Cricetulus griseus: one gene and its partners. The protein of the gene in region 4 purifies or fractionates together with the protein of the main gene of each other region. This does not show direct contact. Links are inferred from orthologs where the notes say so. Each region holds a gene or a part of one and is shown on either strand. Other genes may lie near its edges.

Region 1 (4,211 bases), on a different chromosome or scaffold from region 4:
CTTATTCTTTACCATGGTTATTTCCCCCTCCCAGTGTTCAATCCAATCTGTAACTACATTTTTGTCCACATCTAATTGATTCCAGTATGCACTAATGCTCCCAGTATGTTCGGTTTTGTTGGCCTCTGTGGCTTTCAGTCCTGTTGTTTCTGGAAAATGATACGTGCTTAATAAAGAACTACATAGCTGGGTTTTTTCCTTTATCACCTTCCTTCATTGGGTCCATGCATGCTACTTCTTAAAGCTTATGCCCCTTTCCCACTCGTTGTATTAACATATACAATCACAAATAGCTAGCATGTATTGCCCTCTTACTAGATTATTAGGCTCTGTGTTATATAAACTTTACTATATAATTTCACTTAATCTTTACAATAACCCCCCGGTATAGGTAAGTTTTTAAACAACTATCTCCATTATACAAGAGGAAGTTGTATAATTTGCAAGTAGTGAAGCCAGGATTCGAGACTAGTTTCTTAAAAACAAAACAGTGCCTGGCCACGGCTCGCTTCTGGTGAGGGCACAAATTCTAGTTAGGAAGTCCTGATGCGCTTTTAGCTATGTTCTAAACTTCTGCTCTAATAAGACTACGTCCTAGCCTAGAATTCAAACTTTCTTCCCCTCTTGGACCACTTTTATGCGATGGAGACAGCAGAGGGGTAGTGGAGGAAGATGTGGGACGACGCGTAAACGCTAGTAATTTACTTCTCAGCACCTCACCGGAGACGAGCGGTTTGGGATCTGAAACCAATTCCCGCACCCATCAGTGACCAAAACACTTACCTTAACCGCCACCTCCGGAGCCGAATCTACCGCCACTGTCAGAGAGGGCTTGGCTGAAGGCGATTTGGTCAGGTGCATGAGAGAGTCGGCGGCTGGCAGCGGACACCGACTGCCCTCACTGTCCGAGTCCGATTCGGACCCTGAACCCGAGCCATACGAAGCAGCTAGAGCTGCAATCGCAGCGGACATGACTGCAACAGATCCTCTCTGCTGTGGTCAGGCCAGGGCGGAAGAAGCAGCGACTCCCAGGTCCTGACAGATTGCCAAGGAACACTTTATTTACCTTCTTTAACAAAAAATCATTTATAACTTCCTGAAAAAAATATAATGATTATTACTCTGACTGCATCAGTATCTGAGACTCGCAAACATTAATCTAGATAAGCACAAGGAATTACAACTACTTATAACTTTCAGGACCTCGTTGATTAAAGCCCCACAGTTCTGAGATACCTTTGAAGCCTCGAGGTCCTCCACTCCCGGCGTGCAGAGCGGTGGGAAGCGCGAGGCACCATGGGAATTGTAGTTTGGAGGGAGGAGGCGGAGCCGGGCTGAGGGGTCGGCCTTCGACCCCGCCCCCAAAGGATGGTTCATTCAATTGGATATCATCTTCCCTCATTCCCTAGCCCAGCATCGTTCTCTGCGGCCCCCTCCCCCAAAGTGCGGATTGGGCAATACCACGGAGCCTCAGGACAGGGGGAAGCTCCGTCCTCTTGCCCACGGACGAGTACGTGAGCGGAGGCTGAGTCTCCCGCCCTGCGACCCTACGCCCTGCGGGACTCAAGGGGACAGTGCGAATCTTCAGTTCGGAGACCTGGGGCCCGCCTGGCGCAGCTCCGGGGGAAGGTTGTGGGGCGAGGCGGAGAGCGCCCCGCGGCTCCCCCTGCTGCAGGCGCGGGTCCCCGCGCCCGGTTGTGGAGCGTCGCGCGGGGAGGGGGCGGCGCAGGGCAGCGGCGGCTCGCGGTGTTGTTCGCTCGCGCGTCGCGCGCACCGCGGCTCGGGCCATCAGTGGCGCCCCCGGCGGCATTCCCGGCGGCCCGGCGCCCCAGCCAGTGCCCGGCGCGGCTTCCACCCCGCGGCCCGGCGCTCCCGAGGGGCTCTCGGTGAAGTCCCAGCGCGGAGCGGGACCGGCGACCGCCGCCGAAGCATGAAGAAGGGGTAAGGCGCGAGCCCCCCACGGTTTCTCGGTGAGCACGAGTCTGTCAGGATTTTGTCCCCTTTCTTCCCCGGGTCCTGGCAGGGGAACTGCTCTCCATCGGCCGGAGCCGAGAGGGGCGTGTGTGGGAGCCCGGGTCTGCGGCCGCGGCGGCGGCGATGATGGGCGCGCCGCCCGCCCCCGCCCCCATCCCGGGCTCCCCCGCGCCCGCCGCCTAGCAGCCCGGGCTGCGCGTGGAGGACGAGGGCGCGGGTCTCGGCTGTGGGGACCAGCCCGAGGCTGCTCCGGGTGCAGCGGCGGCGGCGGCGGCGGCTCTCACCTGCGGTGCCGTGCGGTCCGGGGCGCGCGGCTCCCACCCCGCCGCCGCTTCGCCCTCGTGCCTCGGCGCCGGCCAAGGCTGCAGCCCACCGCGGAGCCCCGGCTCGCCCTGTGTGCCTGCCGCTCTGAAAAGCGAGCTCTGGCCGCGCGTCTTCGCGCCGCGGCTCCCCGTGCACGACAGCGGTAAAGCGGTAAAGCGAGTGCGGGTATCCCTTTATTTTCCCGTGTGGAAGAGAAGCGGTTGCCGTCTCTTCTGATGCCTGGGAATCGGGAGGTTCCTCGGGCAGAGTTAGGGAGATGCTCGCCGGGCTCTGATGTCGGCAGGACTCGCCCATTGTGCCACCCAGATAATTATTCAACTATGCAGCATCCATTGCACCTTTCCCATTTTTCTTTTCCCCTAGCTACAGCATGCCCCCTAGCTTCCGTACTCCGACACCTTCTCTTGCACTTGCGGATGATGAACTAGAATAATGGTGAAAAGAGAGCTCATCCGATCCGAACATTCACGATCTGCCCTGTGACCGACTAATTGATTAATACCTAGCTAGAATAGGTATTTGAATACTACTCATTCTGACCTTATCCTTGACTATACGAAATGTGCCTGAGGCTCTAATTACATCTTTTTCTTGATGTTCACAAATTAGCGAAGTCTTGTTTCTGTTCAGTAATCGTTGTGATTAATTTTCAATAGTTGTTTAGTCCATTGATGTTTATAAATTTAATTTGGTAAACTTTAACTTTTCTAATTGCTGATATCGGCGTAACACAATTAACAAATGCAATCCCAGTTGGAACTCGAAGGAACAGTTTATCCCTGATGATCCAAGTTTCTGCTGGAAATCATTTTTATTTTGAATATTTTAATAAAGTAGTTAATACACATTTTTTGTTTTGAATAATGAAAGTTTTGTATTTCGTATTTGTGAAATTTGATTACTAATCATAGCCTTTATTTGAACGAAAGGAAGAATTTAATTTTTAAGGGGGATCTTAATCCTTAACTTACTTGGATTTTACTTCTCACTTAGCTAATTTTACAGTATATTTTATTACTGTTGCAGTTTTTTCCCTTATTCTTTTCTGACTTTTATTGTGGATGAGTAGATCCAGTTTTGCATACTCTACTTTAAGGATGAAATATGATTTTGAAAACATAAGAAACAAACATTAGTTACTTACAACTTAAGTGGTATTATTTAGAAACAAATTGTTAACTACCAGAAACATCTTTTTTTCCCTTTTTGTCATCCTTCCCATCTTTTTGTGTTTAAGTTTGTTTTGATAAAAACAGGGTTACACACAGGCAATGCAAGAGTTTGAAGGTGCATTAATAGTTTAATGGCACTTGTGAGTGGCATACATATAAATTGTTGGTGTAGAGTCATTTTTCACAAGATATTAGGCATTATTTCAGAGAAGATAGTTTCATAGTATTTTTTAACTAATTTTAAGTACTTTAATTGCTGAATCATGAAAATGCTTCAGTATGTTTTTCCATGGCACTCAAAAATGGCTGGTTTACATTTGATGTTGCTAGTGGTTTTTAATTTAGGCTTCATGCATACATACAATAATTACAGATACACTGATAAAATGACTGGTAACAAGTAGAATACTGAATTAAATTCATGAAGAGTCTAGAAAATATTGAAGGTCTTTTGGTTTAAAATTTTTGGCTAATGGAATTTATAACTGTGATCACTTGAAAGATAGGTCAGCTTTATCACTAGGGTTCATAAATGCCCATGTATTGAGAGATGGTGCATTACTGTAGTATAATACTATAGTTTTTGTTTAATTTTAAGAATATTTTAAGATATCTTTTCCAAAGGCTTAACCTTCATGTTAACAGTAGAGGATATATGTGGTTTCCTTGTTGAAAGATTAATCCCTTCCTTTTCACAGCAAAAACTACTATTGAAAGACTATATCCTTACAGTCTTTACTT
Region 2 (4,170 bases), on a different chromosome or scaffold from region 4:
AAACTGAGACTGGCCCCAGACTAATTCTCGAATCAGCTCACAGCAGACACACAATAGTCAATGAATGAGTTGGGTCTTTAGAACATAATCCACACAGTGAGAAGGGTCCAGGGCGGGGGCCTTTGGACAAGGAACCCAGAATTCTGAAAACTTCACTGTAGATAAAAAGAGAGAGGAGAAATCACCCTCTTAGGGTCAGACCCTGAGAAGGAAAACAAATGGCTCCATTTATGAATGATTTAGGCTAGCAGCTCCCTTGAATCAATAAATGACATTTTCCAAAGCCACCTCACTTGCCATTTTTTTTGAGGGGGGGGTTTCAGACAGAGTTTCTCTGTGGCTTTGGAGGCTGCCCTGGAACTAGCTCTTGTAGACCAGGCTGGTCTCGAACTCATAGAGTTCTGTCTGCCTCTGCCTTCCATGTGCTGGGATTAAAGGCATGTGCCACCACCACCAGGCCTCACTTGTCATTTTTATAAGGATATTTTTTTCCTTGTCAAGTGACCAAACAATGTCCGCCCCCATCCCCAAATCTGTGTACATAAAAAGCCCTGGCCTTGGGGAAGTGAGCAGTGGGGTTCAGATGGGCCTACAGTGAGCAAGATGAGCAAGGCATGGAGTATGCCCCAAGGCATAGAGAGGGGATGGGTCTGGGTTCCAGAATGGACTTCCATAACCCAGCTCACTAAGGCGGAGCATATTGGGGTAGCTAAGCCCAGGCCTGCTGTGGGGAGCTGCACATGGTTCCTCCTGCGTCAGCAGGGTGTGAGTCTGCACATGTGGGTCATGGAGACTTACCATGCTGGAGTGGACCGTTGCCTGCTCAATGTACCTTGCAATGCCCGTGACAAATGCATTCCTGTCTTCGAAGTTCGTGTCAAAGTTAGCCTATCGAGGTAGAGGACAGAAGGGGGCACTTGATTATTGGAAAACACATCTAAGCTGGCTGGATGTCTAGGGAGTGAACAGCCACCAACAAAAATCACAAGCTTTCTGTGGAAATCTACTGCCCATGGCTTTCAAATATTACCCCTTAACACCTCAAATCAGCTGAGGGCCAATGGGCAGCACCTATTTTTCACAGGTGACCGGTTTCGCTCAACCAAGCCTCAGAAGTAAATGTTTAATTCCGAATTGACTCTTTTTAATTCCAGTTAGTTGGGATTAACTAATAAACTTGGCCAATTTATTCTTGTGAAAAGTGCCTTAAAATTAATCTGGTTTATATGCTTGTTGTGATGAATAAAAGCCCCAGCACAAGGAAAGCATACTTCCAGCAAACTATGCAAGTCCAAACAGCTGCTAAAAGTCAAGGTGTGCATGGCTTTGATCCAGCCATTCATACACACGTGCCTCAGGGTGCCTGAGGGTGCGCAGATGTAGCTGTGTCAGCCAGCACACAGTTTTTACAATGAAACAACCACCTGGAAACAATGAAACCAGCCAGCAAAAGCTGAAGTAGATGACAGTCTTTCTGTACAATGGGCTGGAAGAAGCATGAGCTGCTTGAACGTAAGGTGGCATTACCACAGCACTGATGTCCAACGATATCCATAGAAGTGTTTGCTGCTGTGATTTTTGAGACAGAGGCTCTTTCTGTAGCCCAGGCTAGCCTCGGACTCACCGCAATCCTTTTTCCCCAGCTTCCAGAATGCTGGGATTACATCTGTGAGCCACCACGCCTGGCTCCACAATAAATGTTAAGGAAAAGATGAATCAGGACAGTTTTTCTATATTTACATTTAAATACATATCATGAATTCCTGTTTTTAGTAAAAGAAATAGTTCATATACCATATATATCTACTAAAACAAAATGCCTATGTATACAGAGAAGGGTATATCAGTATAAGACATTTATTTCCATGCTGTACTTTTCCATTTTGTTAATGATGAAAATGTTTCCCTATAAAACTAAAATCAATATATACTTATATAATTAAAATTGTAATCTGTGTTAAAATCTACAAATACATCAGATTTAGGAACTGAATATTCAAGTATGTGAAGATTCATTTAACTATTGAGTGAAATGAAAAACATAGAATTATACTTAGTCATAGTTCACCATCCAAGACTTATCAAAAAGGTCTAATACAGCCCCAATTTCCAAACTAACACATTCCTTTTTAACATGGCATTCAGCCTGGTACACCCAGACAAGGGGCTTTGGCCAGGCTGCTTCCAGGTGCATGGATGCCCTCCTCACTAGGCCTGCCAGGGTCATAGCTCTGTGTAATGGGATGGTGGCTTATCACCAGATCTGATTTAGGGCCAAAGCAAATAACTGTGATCCACTTCCCTGAGCCACTGGCTGCTGTGTGGACTTGTGTGAGCTCTTGCCATACATATTCAGGAAAAGCAATTATCCAGGCAGGCTCCAGAGGCTTCCAAATTGTGATATTTAATTCATGAGCTTAGGGATGCCATAACCTGGGTGATGCAACAACAGGAACAGCCCAGAAGGAATTTAGGGTTAGAACAGATCAACAAACGCTCCCTAGGGGAGGGACATGAACCTGGCACACATTTATTAGTTAATCTATTCCTTCTGCTGGGTTCTTATAGTGCATAGGAGATCCATCAGCTCCTGCCCTTTCACCTTCCCTACACTCCAGGGCAGGTCCTCTTAGAGGAACTCTAGAATCTAGGTTTCTCCATTGCATGCTGCCATTTCCATTACCTGGTACATGATGGAGGATGGCGGGGGCTCGATGCATGGCTGCTGGTCTGGGAGGGGCAGTTCCTCCAGCAGGTCCACATTGGACAGGGCATCTTCCAAAGTGACGTGGGTGGTCATGACTGCGGTGTCTGTCTTCCACGCTGATAGGGAGGAAGAAAAGGACAAGGGAGAATTTCAGGGTCCTCCAAATATTTCCTTTGGCCTCACCCTATCCAAACTCCGTGTGGAGAGTGGAGAGGGTTAAGAGTCATGTAGGCTACTCTCACAGATGTCTTCTATCTACACCTTTAAAATTTGAGGATCAGGGCTGGTGAGATGGCTCAGTGGGTAAAGCACTTGCCGCTAAGCCAGATGACCCAGAGTTCCATCCCTGGGACCCACACATGGTGAAAGGAGAGAAAAGATTCCCCCAAGTTGTCCTCTGACCTGCACACACCCACCTTAACATGAAATGCCACAATACCACATCATGAACACACATAAATAATAAATATCTTGGCTGAGCCTTACCACAACCATTTTCTACCGGCATGCAGAGTTGGATTCTGCCAACACACAAGCAGTAAAGAAACACAGCTCTGAGAAGTAATGTGACACCCACACAGTCAAGTAAGCAAGGGTAAAGAATCTGGATTGATGCTGGGCATGGGGACACAGGCCTCCTGTCATAAGGACATTCATCAGTTCCTTTCTTAGATACCGGTACAGGATAAATATCCATGACTGAACAGCCAGGACAACCAAGGAGACCTACACCTAGATTTTATAGGCTAGTTAAGCAGGGTCTGTACAGTTGTCAACTCCTGCAAACCAGCCTGCTTGAAGCAATGGTGAAGCTGCAGTGTGTCCCTTGGTCTGAGGACATTTTATGAATCACGCCAAAGCAATCAGCCCTTAATAGATATTTCTGTGTCTTGAACCCAGGCAGAATGCGGCTGGTTGGAGGGAAACTGCAAGGCAGTGAAGCAGAAAGGACTGAGCAGGGCAGTTAACCAACTCAAGTTAGTTGCTATTTTAAGAACACAGCACTGTGCAAGCAGAAGATTCATTTTGTAAACCCCAAATTACATGCGAAATTAAAGACTTATAATGTATGATTTAGTGTATAAATTGGGTTCCCACAAGTAGCCTCCAAAAATGATATGCTAAATCAGGTGTGGTGATGCTTGCATGCAATCCTAGCACTTAGGAGACTGAGGCAGAGGACTCAATGACTTTGAGGCTAGTTTGGGTTACATAGCAAGTTGAAGGCCTGTCTGGTTACAAAGTGAGACTGATCTCAAACTGCATCCCCCCAAGTGAAACAAAACCAACAACATGGTGAGAGCATCAACAGTGCAGATTAGAATCCCCCAAATCACTCCTTTGAAAACTTATAAGCCCACAAAACTACTCACAACTATGGAGTGATTCAAACAGAAATGGTAATTACTTAGGGAATCTAGTGTCCTCTTACACACACACACACACACACACACACACACACA
Region 3 (4,154 bases), on a different chromosome or scaffold from region 4:
CAAAAAGACAGACACACAGACAGAGACAGATAGACGCACAGAGACTCACATAGAGATAGAAAGAGACACAGATAGAGACAGAGAGACAGACAGACACAGAAATACACACACACACACACACACACACACACACACACACACACACAGGCAGAGGGAAGGACAGAGGGACATATACAACTAAAAAAAGACTGCTGGCTAATTCTGGCTGTCAACTTGACTACAACTGGAGTCAACTCAAATCTGGGCATGCCTATGAGGGATTTTCTCAGTAGGATCATTTGAGGTGGGGAGACCCATCCTAACCCTGGATCCCACCCAGGACAGGGAAGTAGAAAACTCCTGCTTTTTGCCTGCTTGCCCGAACTCTCTCTGGCAGGCTCGTCTATCCTGTCACTGAGGCATTCCTTCACTGATATTAGAACACACTTCTTTGGGATTCCAATGTAGAGCAAAGACCAGCGGCTCTCTAGGAATTCCTGGGACTCCAGCACCAGACTGGGACTGCTCACAAATCGGGCCTTGGAAACTGAACATGGACTGGATTCTTGGCCCTTCTGTCATGAGACAGCATTGTTGGGCTACCCAGACCACAGCCTGTAAGCCATTCCAATAAGTCGTGCGCGCGCGCGTGTGTGTGTGTGTGTGTGTGTGTGTGTGTGTGTGTGTGTCCATTCTACCAGTCCTGTCCCTATAGAGAACATTGACCAACACAGAGATAAAGAGCAGAGTCTGGCGTGATTGGTGCACACTCGTCATCCCAGTACACACTCAGGAGACAGAGATTTCTATATGTTTGAGGCCAGCCTGGGCTACATAGTGAGACCCTGTCTTGAAATATAAAAACAAGAGCAAGATCCTGTAAACAGAACAAACAACAGAAAACAAAACAAAACCCCAACTAACACAAACAACTAAGACCTCGGGGCTGGAGAGATGGCTGAGCAGTTCAGTTCCCAACACATACGTCAGGCAGCTCACAACTGCCTGCAACTCCAGCTCCAGGAGATGCAACGCTCTCTTCTGACCTCTGCAGGCACCACACTCATGTGCACAAACACACAGACAGACAGACAGACAGACAGACAGACAGACAGACATAAATAAAAATAAACCTACAAAAAAAAAAAAACACCCTGACAAGACCCTGGTAAGGGGACTTAATCTTTCCAACTGCAGTTTCCCTTCCTGTAACATATCAGTGTCTACCTGGTGTCGTCGTTGTATAAATTCAGCCCAGTAGGTGAAATATTTTTTTAGTCTCAGTAATGATTAATAATCTGATTTTGGTCAGGGTTTAGCACACAGTGGTTGCTCAATAAATGGGAATTGAGGGCTGGAGAGATGGCTCAGCCGTGAAAGGCTAGTCTCCCAACCAAGGATAAATGGGAATTGATACAACGACTTTCAGTAGCCAGAGTACGCTTGGAATTATCTCCTTTCCCTCGTGCCATGGTTCAAGTCTTCCCAGGCAAGTGTCTTCAGTCTCCTCTTAAAATTACCACTTGCAGGGCTGGAGAGATGGCTCAGAGGTTAAGAGCATTGGCTGCTCTTCCAGAGGTCCTGAGTTCAATACCCAGCAACCACATGGTGGTTCACAGCCATCTGTAATGAGATCTGGTGTGCAAGCATGCATGCAGATAACTGTATGCATAATAAGTAAATAAAGTTTTTTTTTTAAAAATTACCACTTGCAATAATTCTCTTTTGTTGAGACAGTCACATGCAGGCCAGGCTGGTCCCAAAGTTGAAGATGACTTTGAACTCCTGATATTCCTGCCTTTTCATATCCTCAGTACTGGAATATAGGCATAATCCTCCAGACTGATTATTTTTTATTTTTATTTTTTGGTTTTTTGAGACAGGGTTTCTCTGTGTAGCTTTGGAGCCTGTCCTGGAACTCGCTCTGGAGACCAGGCTGGCCTCGAACTCGCAGGGATCCGCCTGCCTCTGCCTCCCGAGTGCTGGGATTCAAGGCGTGGGCCACCAACGCCCGGCTCAGACTGGTTAATTTATTTAGATGTGTTTTGAAACAGGGCCTCACTACGGATCCCTAGCTGGCCCAGAACTTGCTATGTACACCAGGCTGGCCTTGAACTTGCAGAGCTCTGCCAGCCTCTGCCTCTGCCCCTTGAGTGCTGGGATTAACGTTGTATCGGTGCAGTGGATTAGACCCCCGTGTTTCACACATGCTAGGCAAGCACTCTCCTTGCTCAGCCACCCCTCCCCCTGTAATTTCTTAAATCCCCCTTTCTATGAGAATAACAGCGGGCCAGAGCTAGGCAGGCAGTCAGGTTTAGTGAGACTCCTGCCGTTTACCTGGATCCTGCTTGTGGCATGTCTCTACTCAATGGTTTCGTTTCTACCCCCTTTGTCTTCCTGCCCACTCTCTCCGGGAGATTCGAGTCTGCACTGTCCTCATGCTTTTCTAGCAGAGGGCCGATGTTTAATACTAAGATCAGGATGGGAGAGAAATGACAGTTCCCAAAGGCCCGAGTGCCTACTGCGGGAATGGCCAAACAGCTGGCTGAGTCCTGTCAGCTCTCAAAATAGGTCCCCATTCCCATTTATCCAGGGGAGGGGCTGGGTTCCAGGCGGTGGCATGCCACACTGTGACACGCTATGCATATTCCAACCAAAGCCCTTCTGTCTGTGCCTGACCACAGGCTGGGCAGGGAGGGGAGCATTCCTCCCAGTGTGTAGAGCCTGGGTTGTAGAAACAGGATCGGCAGGTGTGGGGGAAGGGTTGGAGGGGCGAGGGCTGGCGGGGCACAGGGGCCACTTACCCCGTGGTGGTGTTCATGGTGGCAGGATGAGGTGCTCTGTCCACCTGGAGGTAGGTGCCTTGAGAGCCGGCAAAGACGTGAGTCACTGACTTGGCTCGGTGACTTGACCCTGGCTCAACCCTCCTTCCTCCCTCAGACCTAGTTGCCCAGGCCCCAGCCTGGCTGCTTTGGACCCAGGGATCCCTGCTTCAGGCCCAGGAATTAAGACTTGACGTTTCCCCTTCACCCAGGGGACCTCTTTCCTTAGGAGTCTAGGTAGGCTCCACTCTCTTCCTGAAGAGACCCTCAAGTCCAGACCTCCCCAGTCTGCTCCTTTCTCATACCCAGATTACCAAGCCCCAGCCGTTTCCCCTCAGATTCAGGGGGCCAGAGAGAACATTATCCCTCAGATACAAGAGTCTAGACCTCAGACCTCCTGGTTCAGACCCAGGGGTCCAGGGCGGACCTTATCTCTCAGATGCAAGACTCTAGCCTCCAAGCCTCCTTGCTGAGATCTGGGGGTGCAGGAGATAAGTCTTCTAAGACTTATCTCCTATCTAAGAGTCTAGACCTCAGCTCTCTTCCCTCATACCCAGGGACCCAAGCTCTGCTCCCTCAGACCCAGGGGTCCAGGCTCCAGCTCTGGTCCCTCAGGTCCAGGTATCCAGCCCCCAGGTCTCCCTCCTCCCTCTCTCCGGGGTCTGGCCTCCTCACCTGCCTGCTGGTTCTGTCTGGCTCTCAGCTTCTCCCTCCCTTGTAGTCCGGACTCCTCCTCCTGCCTCCTCCCAGGCCTTGCACAGGCACCGGCATACCTGAGCGCTCACCTGGCACTGCTGGCCCGAGGTGCCTCAGGGGCGGGGCTGGCACACAGTCTCAAGTGCGTGCGTGTGAGCGGGGGCTGGGTTGGCCCGCAGGGGATCCCGGAAATCATGTGTGTTTCCGTTGTAACAACAGACTAATAACAACAACAATTTGCTGTCACACACCTGAGTGAAAAGCTCCTCCTCAAATATGTCTGAGAGTCCTCGGAGGCCCTGGGGGTGGGGTGGGGTAGATTTCCTATTGACCAGTGAGGAAGTTAAGGTGTGGAGTGGTTGGGTCACTTGTTCATATAGCTCTGTCACCGTGTGTGTGTGTGTGTGTGTGTGTGTGTGTGTGTGTGTGTGTGTGTGTAACAGGAGATCAAATATGACTGTGTCTCCGGGGCCAGCATGTGTCCTGGCTCGCGGGACACCTAGCCACAGTTGGCTTTTTCCCTGGCTCCAGACTCCACCTGCCTGCATCTATCTTCCTTGGAAGGTTTCCTTCAATCATCCCCCGTGGAGCTGAGGGTGAAGACTTATCTCATGCCACCCTTTAACACAGCTCCTCATGCTGCTGTGTCCCCAAATC
Region 4 (3,500 bases):
TCTGGACAGCCTGGACTACACAGAAATAATTTATCTCAAAAAAAGTCTCCATTTTACTGACTAAACTCCAAAGTGTTAACCGAATGTTCTCCCAGAATGCCTTTACTTTCTAAAAAGGTAAAATAAGTTTTCCTATTTTTAAATCTCATCTTACAGTCACTGCATTTCACTAAAATAGGTGCTGATTCTCATATATAAATAAGAAAGTCACAAATACATTAGTTTAGCAATACTGACCTTCTAAATGAAATATACAATATTGATTTGCTTTTGAAATAATAAACATCAATCTTAACTATTTACAAAGACAAGTATAGCTAAAAGCAAAATGGCTAAAAACTGACCTAACAAAACTATTTCTCTGTATCATATACATACAGCTGATAAAACCCCAAGTTTGTGAAAATTAATCTAAAAATATACTTGTTATTAATTAGCCTTTATTATAGCTATAGCCACAATCCAGTAAATAATTTTTAGCCAAAATGAATCAGTTATTTTAGCTTCCCTTACAAAGTTAACAAGTATCACACACTAACCCTGAGAGTACTGAACAACATACCTGGGCCGGCAGTGGGAGGTGAAGGCGTAGGCACAGCAATGGGAATGCCAATACTACTGCTCCCACTGTTTTCTCGGCTTCCACTTCCTCCACTACTTCCACTACAAAGAACAGAAGCATTTGAAAGGTCATTTTTAAAAATTGATTTTAAACCAGGTGGTGGTGACACATGCCTTTAATCCCAGCACTTGGGAGGCAGAGGCAGTCGGATCTCTGTGAGTTCGAGGCCAACCTGGTCTCTAGAGCGAGTGCCAGGATAGGCTCCAAAGCTACCCAGAGAAACCCTGTCTGGAAAAAAAAAAAAAAAAAAAATTGATTTAAAAAAAAACAATCATAAACTGGGTGTACTAAAAATTCATTTTAACTTGGTTATAAAACTTTACCCTAATACTTAAAACTGTTCTTGTGTTTCACTGTTCTTCTAAAATCCTGAAACCAATATATAAAAGTACTCAAAATCCCACCTGACCTTTAGTCTCAGCACTTTGAAGGCAGAGGCAGGTGGATCTTTGTGAGCTCGAGGCCAGTCAGGACTACATAATGAGACCTTGTCTTAATATGGTAATAATAATCTTTTAAAAATGTATGAGCATTAAAGCCTCACAGTACATAGAGTTACAAGTGTCTACTTAAACCTTAATGTGGTTAACAATAAAGAACCTGTTGTGGTAGCACACACGGCTTTCATCATTGGCTAGAGGTTCGAGGTCTAAAAGCACCTGGAGTACATAGTCAGGCTCTTATTTCTCCTCCTCCTTCCTCAGAAAAGAACAGTGAACAGAACTCAACAGCAGAACATAAGAACACAAACTCAAAAATTAGTGTGACAGATTTTGTACATACAAAAAGGAATGTACAGGACACTGGGAATGAAAACCAGTATCACAATCTCTACCTATAGAAAAGTGAAACAGGCATGGTGGCACATACCTATAATACCTGCATCCAGGAGACTGATGAAGTTTTACAATTTCTAAGTCAGTCTGGACTACATAGCAAAACCATGTTTCCCAAACATAAACAAGCTGGGCTGGGCACATGGATGCACGGCTTTAAACCCGGTACCGGGAAGGCAGAGGCAGAAGGATCTCTATGAGTTTGAGGCCTGGTCTACAAAGCAAGTTCCAGGCCAGCCAGGGCTACATAGTGAGACCTTGCCTCAGAAACAAGCAAACAAACAAAGACAACAAAATATAATATATAAAAGCAAATTTAAGAAAGGTGATAAGAAATTTTCTGGAAAATGAGTGTGGTGGTTTGAATAAGAATGGCCCCCACAGGCCCACAAATTTGATTGCTTAGTCATCAGGGAGTGGCACTTCTTGAGAAGGGTTAAAGGGGCCTTGTTGGAGATAGGAATGGCCTTGTTGGAGTGTGTCACTGGGAGTAGACTCTGAGGTTGCCAAACCCAGTATCTCTTTCTTCCTGCTGCTTATGGATCGAATATAGAACTCTCGGCTCCTTCTCCAGCACATGTCTACCTGCATGCTGCCACGCTCCCATGATGATAATTTAGAGGTTTAGAGAACTAAACCTCTAAAACTCCGAGCAAGCCTCAATTAAATGCTTTCCTTTATAAGAGTTCCCATGCCATGCTGGTCATGGCATCTCTTCACAGCAATAGAACAGTAAGACAATGAGCCTAACACAGCAACAACAGAACAAAGTTTCAAGGTTTCACAGACTAGAATAGCTGCTACTGATAAACTCTCTGGAACTCCCTCGGAGCCAAGAGTCTGTCCTAGCTGAGACTAGCACACCTGCCCCTCACTATGTTGCCTAGGCTAATTTCAAACTTCTAATCTCAAAGGATCCTCCAGCCACTGCCTTCCAAATGCGCACCACCACAGTGCCTGGCTCATACTATATTTCAAAACCAATATGGTTTGATCAGTATGCCCACAAACCCAAGAAGGCAAAGATTTATAGTGCCTCGGTAAGATTATTTTACTCTCCAATATAATCAATTTACAACTGGATAATCACATTGTAATAAAATACATTTAAAAATCCACTGATAGCCGGGAGGCAGAGGCAGGCGGATCTCTGTGAGTTCCAGGCCAGCCTGGTCTCCAGAGCGAGTGCCAGGACAGGCTCTAAAACTACACAAAGAAACCCTGTCTCGAAAAACCAAAAAAAAAAAAAAAAAAAAAAATCCACTGACAGAACAAACTAGCTTAAATGAGATTCTCAACTCGTTCAAGCCAGGAACTCAATATTCAGCTTTGTGTCAGACCTAGGAATATATGTACATTTAAGCTCTTCTGCAATTCCTGACTTCAGTGTTTCTTATGTAACACAGGGTAAGTAGTAGCAAAGTATACCCTGTGAGCTAAAACTGGACAAAAGCCCAAATTTTGCCTATGAGCTAACTTTTTCCCCCCTAAATAGTGAGGGAAAACTCAAAAGAGGAATGATATTTTTGAAAACATTAAAATTATATGAAATTCAAATTTTAGTACCATAAGTAAAATTTTACTAGGCCATGGCCATGCTGATTCATTTACATATTGTCTGCCATGTCAATATATTTGCAACAGTGCTTAAGTAACCCATAAATCCTGACATAATGACATTTCTAGGATACATTTCTAAATTTCTTTTTAAAAAAAGATGTTTGTATTTCAACACAATGAGCATCTGGAAAAATCAACAATACTATGTTTTATATGTTACCGACTGGTATTTAATAAAGTCATTCTAAATAACTAGTGGTTGAATAAGATTCCACTTTGGAAAAAACATACTCTGACCCTGTAATTAATTCAGCAGCCAAGGTAGATCCTTCATAAAGCCCATTGGGCAGCTGTTCTCTAGAGGATTTTTAACACACCCTAGTTTACCAGCGCTGTCCAGAAACAAGTTAAGTGTTCTTCCTCTGATCTCTCAGGGTCCAACTGAGCCACGGAACTTCTATGACATTTAACCTTTTGTCTAA

Evidence for each region. The genes of interacting proteins can lie anywhere in the genome.
Region 1: the proteins of Abi1 (region 4) and Wasf1 purify together in Homo sapiens (affinity purification with mass spectrometry; 6 studies listed by BioGRID and IntAct, with this or other methods). This does not show direct contact. The link is inferred for Cricetulus griseus from reciprocal best matches to the Homo sapiens genes ABI1 and WASF1.
Region 2: the proteins of Abi1 (region 4) and Cyfip2 purify together in Homo sapiens (co-immunoprecipitation; 4 studies listed by BioGRID and IntAct, with this or other methods). This does not show direct contact. The link is inferred for Cricetulus griseus from reciprocal best matches to the Homo sapiens genes ABI1 and CYFIP2.
Region 3: the proteins of Abi1 (region 4) and epidermal growth factor receptor kinase substrate 8-like protein 1 purify together in Homo sapiens (co-immunoprecipitation; 4 studies listed by BioGRID and IntAct, with this or other methods). This does not show direct contact. The link is inferred for Cricetulus griseus from reciprocal best matches to the Homo sapiens genes ABI1 and EPS8L1.

The regions. Positions count from the first base shown.
Region 1 is NC_048595.1:263,394,716-263,398,926, forward strand, and holds the start of Wasf1 (wiskott-Aldrich syndrome protein family member 1), read left to right. Parts: upstream 1-1,411; 5' UTR 1,412-1,970; intron 1,971-4,211. Other genes in the region: Cdc40 (pre-mRNA-processing factor 17), read right to left, coding at 784-972.
Region 2 is NC_048600.1:60,846,627-60,850,796, forward strand, and holds the start of Cyfip2 (cytoplasmic FMR1-interacting protein 2), read right to left. Parts: upstream 2,801-4,170; coding exon 2,684-2,800; intron 889-2,683; coding exon 799-888; intron 1-798. UniProt on the Homo sapiens protein: Involved in T-cell adhesion and p53/TP53-dependent induction of apoptosis. Does not bind RNA. As component of the WAVE1 complex, required for BDNF-NTRK2 endocytic trafficking and signaling from early endosomes.
Region 3 is NC_048602.1:23,143,755-23,147,908, reverse strand, and holds the start of epidermal growth factor receptor kinase substrate 8-like protein 1, read right to left. Parts: upstream 2,801-4,154; coding exon 2,784-2,800; intron 1-2,783. UniProt on the Homo sapiens protein: Stimulates guanine exchange activity of SOS1. May play a role in membrane ruffling and remodeling of the actin cytoskeleton.
Region 4 is NC_048596.1:211,226,103-211,229,602, reverse strand, and holds part of Abi1 (abl interactor 1), read right to left. Parts: intron 664-3,500; coding exon 563-663; intron 1-562. UniProt on the Homo sapiens protein: May act in negative regulation of cell growth and transformation by interacting with nonreceptor tyrosine kinases ABL1 and/or ABL2. May play a role in regulation of EGF-induced Erk pathway activation. Involved in cytoskeletal reorganization and EGFR signaling.